Linked DNA regions of Danio rerio. The protein of the gene in region 1 purifies or fractionates together with the protein of each later gene. This does not show direct contact. Links are inferred from orthologs where the notes say so. Each region holds a gene or a part of one and is shown on either strand. Other genes may lie near its edges.

Region 1 (3,740 bases):
TAAAATCATAGGCAACTTTGTTGTATTTAAACGAATCTGGTGGTGTCAAATCTGGTGGTGTGAAATTATAGCGAATTTAATAATCCAATATGTCTCTTTTGCATGCACAAAAATAAAAATCATAATCATCATGCTTAAACACAACCTCTTTTGTTGCATGAAAAATAATGGTAAAATTGTATAAAACAGTCGCATCACAGCATTTCATAAAACATTTACAACAGTGTTTCTCAACCATGTTCCTGGAGGCCCACCGCTATGTTTTGGATGTCTCCATTGCCTGATACACCCATTACAGGTCTTTCAGTCTCTGCTAATGAGCTGATGATCTGAATCAGGTGTGTTTGGTTAAAAATCATGGAAAATGTGCTGGTGGTCCTCCAAGAACATGGTTGAGAAACACTGGTTTAGAAGACAGAAAGTACCTAGTTATTATCAGTTTTAGTTGATGTTGTCAAGGCAAAGGAATAAATTAACAAAGTATTAAACAAAGAAATAAAACCTATATACACATGCAATTATTTAGAAAAACACATAAATACAGAAATTACATAAATATATATATATATATATATATATATATATATATATATATATATATATATATATATATATATATAAACAATAAATGCAAGATCACTAAAGCCAATAATTCTAAATTTAACAAAAAACAGAAACTGCAAAAATAAAAACTACCTCAAGATGTTAATAATATAATATTAACATCATAAATATAATAATATCAATAATATAATACCAATGATAGTAAAATAACTCAAAAGTACCTGATATCAATACGGCGGTGTAAAGACTCCTCCTCCTCCTCCTCTTCTTCTTTTTCTTTCTGCAGCTGACACACACCCTGAAGAATAAAAAAAACATGTTTTATTTCACATTCACTATAATTTATTAATATTTGAAATGCACAAATAAGACGGCCGAGAGACTCACCATGAATTTAGTGTCTCCTTTAGACAGTGTGTCAGTAATGAAGCCGATGGACTCCAGATGATCCACAACGGCATGAAGGAGCTTCGGCTGAATAATGATGTAATATAATAAGAATAATAATGTTATATTAATAATAATATTTGTTTATTTATGCTTTTCTGACATATCAGCTTCACTGGCCATTTTCATGACAACATTACCAATATAAATTCGATATATAGTTTATAATCATAAATTAATCCTAATAAAGGCTGAACGGTATGACCAAATGTTTATCTCATGGTATAAGAAAGTTTATTTCACGGTAATTTACATTTACATTTAGTCATTTAGCAGACGCTTTTATCCAAAGCGACTTACAAATGAGGACAAGGAAGCAATTTACACAACTAAGAGCAACAATGAATAAGTGCTGTAGGCAAGTTTCAGGTCTGTAAAGTCTAAGAAGGGAAGTATTAGTAGTATTAGTTTTTTTTTTTTTTGTACAGTTAGTGTGATATTCAGAGAGGCAATTGCAGATTAGGAAGTGAAGTGGAGACTAAATAGTTGAGTTTTTAGTCGTTTCTTGAAGACAGCGAGTGACTCTGCTGTTCTGATGCAGTTAGGGAGTTCATACCACCAACTGGGCAGATTGAGCGTGAGCGAAAGTGATTTTTTCCCTCTTTGGGATGGAACCACGAGGCGATGTTCATTCACAGAACGCAAGTTTCTGGAGGGCACATAGATCTGCAGAAGTGAGAGCAGATAAGAAGGAGCAAAGCCAGAAGTCACTTTGTAGGCAAACATCAGAGCTTTGAATTTGATGCGAGCAGCAACTGGCAGCCAGTGCAAACGGACTAGCAGTGGAGTGACATGTGTTTGTTTAGGTTCATTGAAGACCACTCGTGCTGCTGCATTCTGGAGCAGTTGAAGAGGCTTGATAGAGGCTGTACGGGTAATGATGTCTTACACAATATAGTTTTTTTTATGAAGGTTGTTATTCCAGAAAATGTACAAAAGTGCTTTTTATAATATATAAGCTTGAAAATTTAAAAAAGGACTTGATCTTATTTGATGTAGTAAATGTAGTAAACAAATTATAACTTTAGTTGGACAACAAATCCCACTGTATGCCACATTTCAGTTTTATGTGGACAGACCTTATTATTATAAACATTTCTCAAGTAACATCTTATCACAGATATCAAATATGTCCCAAGTAACAGGAAAATGAACCTTAAATATGAAAATATAAATGTGTAAACATTTTAAATTAAATATAAAACATTTTAATGATGTAATGATATATGCCGTCATATCGACCAGCCTTAATACAAATAAACAAACATTATACAAAAACATACTAAATAACAACAATACTGACAAAAGGTCATATGAGATCTTTTAGTTTAGTCAACAATTAATAATTGGGACCCTTAAAATATTTTCTGAATAAAAATTTCTCTAATGTAATTAAATAAGCACACATTCTATTTAAATATGTTTTACAGTCATAATATTCTTACACTAGTCAAATTGGGTGGGTGAGTTTAATAATTTAATAATAAGATGTGCAATAATAATAACAGGAAAGATTAATTAAAAGATTAAGCAAAGATTAATTGCATCCAAAATAAAGGTTTGTTTTGACATAATATATGTGTGCGTGTTATGTATATTTATATTTATTATGTATGTGTGATATAAAAAACAAAACTATATAAAACAATTTTCTTACATAGATATTTAAATACAGATATATATATACACAACAGTTCTGTCTGGTTCTCAAATCTGATTGGCTGATAGCCGTGATATATTTAAGTAATATCAGCACCCGTACAGCCCCTTTACCCTTTGTGTATTACTCCGCCCACATACAGCCAGCAAAGAGCAGACACTACAGATCTAAAGGTTAAAAGATGCACACTCGGCTGTTTAACTGTCAGCTTATGATTTGAATCTGGAAGAAAGTAGTTCCTCATACAAAAGGGTTTTTGAGACTCTTAATGTTTGATTTTGTTTTATATACACAATTATGCCGTCAAACTGTTGTATAAACGCAATATCACACGAGTAGCAGTGCAATATGGCTGTATATCGGCACTGGTGGGGGCACTAAGACACGCCTCCCACCAGTGCCGATATACAGCAATATCCCACTGCTACTTGTTTGATATTGCTTTTATATATATATAATCTGTATCAAAAACATATTTATTTTATACCTATTATTTTTTACATTACTATCTATTTCTCAAATATATGCATGCCATAAATACACACAATACACACACCTAAATTATGTCAAAGTTTTATTTTGGACGTGCTTAATTGCAATTAATTTTTGGCCAAACCTAAATAAACGAAGAAAAACTGCATTCTTTATTAATTATTTCCATCTTTAAAAAATATCAGACTTTACCTGTTTCTCAGACTGAGATGTGAAGTCCGGATGGGTCAGCAGTATATCAATATCACCACTCGACTCTGCTCCTGAATATTAACGAAAGCCATTATGGCACATTAGGATGATAAAATGTGATAACTTATATTAAATATCGGGATAAGAGTGAATCAATAACCTCTTCTGTAGCTGCCGCAGATGGTGCCGATGTACTCTGGATCCACTATATCCAGTTCTTTCAATATCAGAGCCTGCAAACATCGGTTAAAATGTTTAAAGTTAAAGACTAATGTTACATTTTAATTATTTTATATTTCTTCCAATTTCTGTTTAACGGAGAGAAGATTAGACCACATCTCTAATCATAATAGTTTTACCTACTCATTTCTAATAACTGATTTAT
Region 2 (4,140 bases), on another chromosome or scaffold:
CTAAGTATGAACAGCACTTAGCAGTGAAAATGAAAGCGTGCACATCATTTAAATAATCATATCGCATTTTACAGCAATGATTACAATATCTATCCATCCATCCATCCATCTATCCATCCATCAATCCATCCATCCATCCATCCATCTATCTATCTATCTATCTATCTATCTATCTATCTATCTATCTATCTATCTATCTATCTATCTATCTATCTATCTATCCATCCATCCATCCATCCATCCATCTATCCATCTATCTATCTATCTATCTATCTATCTATCTATCTATCTTCTTTTGTGCTCAACAGAACAATTTAAAGGTTTGGAACAATTAAAGGCAGAGTAAATAAGACAATTTTAATTTTGGGGTGAACTATCCCCTTTAATGGTGCAGAAATATTGTACAAATGTAAACAATACATTAATAAATCGTCAAACAAGTCAAATAGTAAGACATTCAGAAGAAAAAAAAAAGATTTGCACTGAAAAATAAACAGGACTTACTCAATTTGAACAATTTTGGTCCCACTTTTTTTTCAACTACTATGTACTTACATGAAAAAATAAATACAATGCACTTAATGTGTTCATGATGTATTGCTGAACACTTCTGGTCCTCCTGAGGTGGAATATGGGTAGGTTTAGGGACTGGATTGGTGGCGTCTTTATGGTTTAAGGTATAAGCAATGATTAACAGTGAAATAACAAACGAACTTACAGATGTATTTACATGCAGGTATTTAACCAAGCATAAGTATCATGTAAAAACACATATTTACACAAGAAGTACATTGTAATGAATTATTAATTTCAGTGCGAGTACATTTTAGTTAAGGTTGCTTAATCTAAAGTGGGACCCACATTTTTACTGGTCTTCATTGTATTAAATTAGTGTAGCTTTGTTTCATTAAATGTTTTCTCAAATGAAACACGTTTCCAGCGAAATTGTCCAAATCACACCGCTGTTTTGAGCTAATGTTCATAGGAAATCACTGCTGACCTGCTTCACTCAGTCAAGTATGTTAGTTTGTTTATTTAATTTTTTAGCAAAAGCACTCTTAAACATTAAACATTAATTAGGTGAAAGTAAATAAAAGTGTTTTTTGCACATACAGGGCTTACAAAATCTGGGGCTATTGTTTTTTCATTCGGGCTACCAAAAAGCCTGGTGGGTTATCTAGGTACCAGACTTTGCAAGCCCTGACATATTACAATCTATGGCTTATAATGAATCTATAAAATAAGGCAATGAGTAATAAGAAATTCAGAAATAAATTGACTTGCATAAAAAATAAACAGAATTTAGTCAGTTTAAACATTTTACTGAGATTAATTACAATGATATGATGCAGCTTTGTTTATTTTCTTGATGTATTCTCAAATTAAACTGGTTTTCAGCAAATCTTGTGCAAATCACAGTTATTTTAAGCTAATATTCATAGAAAAGCACTGCTAATCTACTTTAAGTATGGACGTTTACTTAAAAAAAGTACACCTAATCATTAAACATTAATTAGCTGAAAGTGTAGCCTAGTAAATAAAAGTGGTTTTAGCACATATTACTATCTATATAGCTGCATAATAAATCAATAATAAGGCAATGAGTAATGATGAATTCAGAAAATTAATAAGACTTAAATTGAAAATAAACATGATATAGACAATTAAAAATAATAATGAGCTTCATTGCATTGAAATAGTGCAGCTTTGATTATTTTCTTAATGTATTCTCAAATTAAACTGGATTCCAGAAAATCACACAGCTATATTTAGGCTAATATTCATAGGAAATCACTGCTGATCTACTTTAAGTATGGTAGTTACATTTATTTTTAAAAGTACATTTAAATAATTCAACATTAATTAGCTGAAAGTGTACCCTAGTAAATAAATGCGGTTTTAGGAAATATTACGATCTATATAGCTGCATAATAAATCAATAATAAGGTGGCGAGTAATGATGAATTCAGAAATAAATATACTTGTATTGAAAATAAACAGGTTTTAGTCAATTTAAACATTTTACTGAGCTTTATTGCATTGAAATAGTGCAGCTTTATTTATTTCCTTAATGTTTTCTCAAATTAAACTGGTTTCCAGCTAATACTGTGCTAATTACACAGCTATATTAAAGCTAATATTCATAGGAAAACACTGCTTATTATTTGATAACAGAGGACCATTTAAAGGGATAGTTCACCCAAAAATGAAAATGCTGTCATCATTAGCTCATTCTTCACCTGTTACAAACCTATTAGAGATTCTTTCTCCAGTAAACACAAAAGAAGACAGTTGGGAAAAAGCTGAAAACCTGTAACCATTGACTTCTATAGTATTTTTCTACAATGGAAGTGAATGGGTACAGGTTTTCAGCTTCCTTCAAAATATCTCCTTATGTATTCAACAGAAAACAACAAACTCATAAAAATTTAAAACCATTTGGGGGTGAGCAAATTTAAAATGTTTAGGTGAACTATCCCTTTAAACTCATCTTGGGCCTTAGAAACCTGTTCATTCATTTGTGTACGTACACTTACTATACATTTCGCCACGCATACCTGCACAACCAAACGCATTTCCACCAAATATAGAATTTTAAGGATGTTTCTGAAGCAGAGCTAATTCCAAAAAGTTGCACACAACAATAATTCCCTCACCTGCACCATGATGGCCATCCTCAGCGAGTCCTTAGCAATGTTGTCTTTGCATTTCTTGCATGAGGCGCGTCCGCTTTTTGCATATTCGGCTTTGTACAGCTTGTCGTCCTGTGAGTCGGCCATCTCTGCAGATATTTCTGTTAAAAGGAGAAGTTTGCAGACTAATTCTAGTCAGACAGGCCGACAACTCACGTTACAGCGCAATGAGGAATAGCGCGCAGTCAGTCCGCGTGCAGAAGCACCCGCGCAGAATACCAGCCCAAACCAATCGAGCCCACATTCCTCTAGTAGTGGAGAATATGCGCAGACAAAGCTAATCGAACTCAAAGCTCCTCAACACTGAAGAAAAATCTTTTAAGTAGGCAGGGGCGCAATTGCAAATTTACTTAAAGGTATGCGGGTTCAAGTTGGGGTGGTATAATAAAATTAATAATAATAATAATAATACCTTTTATTTTTAGGCGCCATTTGATTTGATTTTGATTTTATGCGCCTTTAGGCAGTATGATTTTCTTTATCTAATAAAATACAATATTATCATGTAATTTAAACGCAAAATAAACATTCTTAACAAAAAATATTTATTTATTTTGATTAATAAAAACTTTAAGTATTAATAATTTCAAAAATAGTTTTGGCACACCCCCGCTCCCCCCATGTATGGCGCCCCTAAGCCCCGCATATAGTGCACACCCCTTTTTTGCGCCTCTGTAAGTAGGGCAAGAAAAAATCTGCGGACATTTTTTTAACTTTTTCTGCAAAGAATTTTGTTAAAAATCTGCGGATTTATGGAATAATTTTGGGAGTATCAAAACTAAAACCTTCATATATGAATTAAAAAATAATAGCTTTCTAACTTGTATTTAATGTTTACAATGCAAATTCAATTTGATCCACTTTATTTGGTAAACAAAGCAAGTGTCTCATATAATATCTCTACTAAAAGACAGAAAATAATACTTTACAAACTGTACTGTAAATAAATCATACGAATATTTTCACATTAGCCAATAATTATCCTAAAATGAATTTACAAACTGAATAAATATACATTTTAAAACATTTACACAAGTAAATAAACAGAATCAATGATGGTCTAAAATTATGTGGAATTCTGCGTGTGCAGATTCCGCGTTGGCCTAGTTATATGTTTTGTGTCATATGTTTACACAGTGCTCAGCATAATTGTGAATACACCCCATTTAGAAAATGAATATTTTACCCATTTATCAAGAAATATAGGTAATATATTTTGGTGCATTTGAACAAAACAGATGAAACAGATATATTTAATAAAATAATATTTTAGTCACTAAACATCTTTAGAAATAGAAAGAAAAAATATGCTTCAATTATTGCGAAATATTGGGGGAAAATTACAAACTACAAAATTTCACAAAATTTTATACATTTTTTTGTTTCTCTTGGATTTTGCTCTTTGAAAAATTATTTAATATTTTCCCTAACTTATACATTTGGACTA
Region 3 (3,740 bases), on another chromosome or scaffold:
ATTCAATAGCAGAGATTATATAGTTCCTGTTTCTAAACCTCTTTACTGCTTTTGAACCAACAAACTAGTCTAAATGAGGACATATGTACATCATTTTTCATGTTCGTAATATCGAATCTAATCTATAAATGAGTAACAATGAATCAATTGCTTACTTAACCCAAAAATACATTCTGTTAACTTTGTGGAATTAAAAAAAAATAATAATCATACACGTTTGGAAAGATATACAAGTGCATTTCAAACTAGAATATCGTTGATTTATTTTAGTAATTAAATTTGAAAAGTGAAAGTCAGATACGATTCATTACACACACACACTGATACATTTCAAGTGTTTTGTTTTTTTTAGAGGGTACCTTTTATGCAAAAATGACTTTTATAAGGGTTTAAACACAGATGTTTGGCAACAGTGGGTAAAAATAACCAGCTTCTAGTGGCAAAAATGTATTCATTTTATTTTTTCATAAATTGCACTTCATAAAAACAATCTGTGGAAATACTTTGATTGACAATCTGCTTTTGTACATGTCATCAGAGGGGGAAAGCCCCACCTATTAGTGATGATCTCACCCCCATTAGCATAGGAGGTTAGTCTTGCTTTTGTGTCAGCACACTGGCAGATTCAAAAACATTTTGTAGGCCCACGCTCTTTTAAAAATCTAATTTGAATTTAAAGCGACAGTCACCAAAATGTTCAGAGTTATAAAACATTATTTGTGGGTTGTTTTTTTTGAGCTGAAACAACACATACACACTCTAAGGACATCAGAGACTTATTTTGTATCTTGTAAAAAATGATGTAACAGGTCCCCTTTAAGTTTGATGATGCTTACAGGTAATGCTTAAACTTACTTATACTTGTCTCTTTTATTCCTGTTTATGTAAAGCACTTTGAATTGCCACTGTATATGTAATGTGCTTTATAAATAAACGTACCTTGCCTAATGAAAACCCAAAATTAAATATTTTAAAAAATCTAAATATTACTTAAAACTAACACAATTAACCAAAATTATGAACTACTGAAAAATATGAATATGTTCATGGAATAAGCAGAATATTTGAGTATGTTAGACAATTATGCACGCTTCAGGTGCAAAACACCTCGAGTGTGCATTATTGGCCAATAATTTAACAAATTGAAGCAGATTATTTTGCTTATACTAAGAAAATGTTCATGCTTTCAGTATTATTCTGCTTATTTTTTCATTTTTTTTTCAGTTGCTGTATTTGTGCTTATAGTATAAGGGATGGCAGTTATAATTGATGACAATTAAACTTTTGGGTGAACTATTCCTTAAAGTATATTAAAGATTGATACCAGCATTGGCTGTACTGGAGTCATCAGAGATGCCTCGATGCTGAGGATCTTTCGGGGGCCAGTTCCATTAGAAGCATCCTGCTGGTTACGCAGCACTCTGTCTATCACATCACCGAGATTACGGGAGGCTTTGAAGGCATCATAGGCATTGGGGTCTACAGCATCCAAACTGATGAGAGAAAAGGTTACAAAGAGGGGGACAGAACAAATAGGTCTGTTTACACCAGGTATTAAGTTGCTCATGTCAGAAGTAAATGAGGATGTTGAATTACTGTTTGCACCAGTTTTTCTTTATATATATTAGAGAATAACGTCTATAGGCAGGTTTAAGTGTGAGTTTTATATAATTTTTTAATCTATTAATCCAAACATAAGTTTGCAAAATTTACATATGAACAAAACTATACAAACAACAATTGCATCTGAGGGTTTGTGTTACAATTAAGAGAAATCAGCAAATATTGTGCATTTTTACATTTTTTCACCTTCAAATCAAACTTATGGTGTCATACGGAAAATTTATTTAATTCAATGAAGCATGCTTAAAAGGGGAAATGTAGCACACAGTTAAGTTTACCTTATTTTGTGCATTGGATTCCACTTTAATGAAAATATATTAAACAAACTTGATTAATGTAACCATTTAGCAGAAAACGGCATGTTTTACTATAGATTGTAGACCTAGGACGCAGCCATCTTGGAATTTTGCTATGTCACAGGGTTGGTTCAGTTCCCTCAGCTGAACAGATACAGTGGAAGTTACTGCTATAAAGCCTAATCTAACCCAATGCGTTAAGTTATGGATGTGGAGCTGCTGCAAATACAAGCATCAGATGCGTGTCTAATATTTTAATTACTTATCATTTGATGTGCTTTGCTCCACTCTCTGCATTACGCTGCCTGACTGACTGTCTTGGTTTCAACAATGATTGTAACGGACTGAACACAGAGACTGGACAGCTTAATTTAACCCAATGCATAAAGTTGCAGACGAGCATCACAGAGCTGGTACTAACACAAGCATTTAAGTGTCTTAAGTTGTGTATTTTTCTTTTGATAATACTTTTCGCTTGATGCGCTGTGGTCCACTCTCAAACGCTGCTCCAGTGCTGCCTGACGAGTGGATTTATATTCAGACTAATGCAACAATTAAAATTACACATGACTTCACACTTTACTTAGTCATGTCTTTGTGGATTATGTCAAGACATATTCCCCCTTCAAGGTTATCAACTTTATTTTTTATTAAAGTGGAATCCACTTTACAAAATAAGGTATACTTGACTGAGTGCTTTATTGCTCCTTTAAAGAAGTGGTTCCCGAAGTAGGAACAATGAGATGAAGTCACTTGGTGATTTCCAAAAATCAAATAAATATTAATAAATTATTAAAATTATAATCTTTTGATCTATTAATCCAAATAAACTAAAATATCAAGTTTAATAAACTATTAAAATAACTATATTTCATCCATAACCTACAGAAGATAAAAAAAAAAGTTACAATAAAAATTGTCTCCAAAAATTAAACAAAGAATGAACTTGTGCTGTAAACATTGTGCCAACCAAGTCTCATTAGGTGAGGTTAATATTCAATTAAACAAATGAATAAATGACTATAAAAATGACATAGTTGTGAGACATAGTTGCTGCACTTTTTTGTGTTGTCAATATGCTAATGTTTATAGGCCTATAGGTGTGTGCGAGCTGTTGCATTCAAAATTTGGATGTCTATAACCACCTCTGAAAATAGTGGGGGTCGTGAGTCACTGGCTGTTATTTTGGGGGTTGTGGGTTGAAAAATATGGGAACCCCTGGTTTAACGGTTAAAAAAAAACAAAAAGATTTCAGATGTTAGTATTAGTACGTTAGTTTGAAGGATATCTAATAGCTAGTGTGCTCCAAAACTGTGACAAAATATGCAAATCTTGCAGTTTGTCACTTCTACCTTAAAGGATCAATTATTTTTTTATCATCCTTTTTATCATCCAAAATGATCATACCTCCATTTTACATCAAATCTTCTGACCAATCACATGTTCTATAGTATCTAACATGCCCCGCTTCTTTAAGATGCCTCTTATTTGTTTTTATATTTTATTATTTTAATTAAACCAATAAACCCTAACACAACTGGTTGTTTATTTTTCAGAGGAGGAGCTACTATATGTCCCACTCTGTTTTCATGTTTCAGTTGAGATTAATCCAAACATTGAAAAAAAATGCAAATTGCAAAGCACTTCACAGGACCTTTAACAATTCCTATACTGTTAAAAATGGACTATACACAGAGTAGGTCCTTATTGGCTGTTTAAATGCATCTGTTCAAATAAGTGTTTATTCTATGAAAGCAAAACAGTTGGATGCGTTTCTGACTTTTGGACATGGTAGAAAGTGAATAAGCTTAAAATGTTTCA

Evidence for each region.
Region 2: the proteins of polb (region 1) and parp1 purify together in Homo sapiens (affinity purification with mass spectrometry; 4 studies listed by BioGRID and IntAct, counting the BioPlex papers as one, with this or other methods). This does not show direct contact. The link is inferred for Danio rerio from reciprocal best matches to the Homo sapiens genes POLB and PARP1.
Region 3: the proteins of polb (region 1) and lig3 purify together in Homo sapiens (affinity purification with mass spectrometry; 3 studies listed by BioGRID and IntAct, counting the BioPlex papers as one, with this or other methods). This does not show direct contact. The link is inferred for Danio rerio from reciprocal best matches to the Homo sapiens genes POLB and LIG3.

The regions. Positions count from the first base shown.
Region 1 is NC_133183.1:3,692,804-3,696,543, reverse strand, and holds part of polb (DNA polymerase beta), read right to left. Parts: intron 3,589-3,740; coding exon 3,516-3,588; intron 3,427-3,515; coding exon 3,356-3,426; intron 1,039-3,355; coding exon 952-1,038; intron 863-951; coding exon 786-862; intron 1-785.
Region 2 is NC_133195.1:46,952,305-46,956,444, reverse strand, and holds the start of parp1 (poly [ADP-ribose] polymerase 1), read right to left. Parts: upstream 2,801-4,140; 5' UTR 2,781-2,800; coding exon 2,658-2,780; intron 1-2,657. UniProt on the Homo sapiens protein: Poly-ADP-ribosyltransferase that mediates poly-ADP-ribosylation of proteins and plays a key role in DNA repair.
Region 3 is NC_133180.1:66,745,199-66,748,938, reverse strand, and holds part of lig3 (DNA ligase 3), read right to left. Parts: intron 1,494-3,740; coding exon 1,325-1,493; intron 1-1,324. UniProt on the Homo sapiens protein: Isoform 3 functions as a heterodimer with DNA-repair protein XRCC1 in the nucleus and can correct defective DNA strand-break repair and sister chromatid exchange following treatment with ionizing radiation and alkylating agents.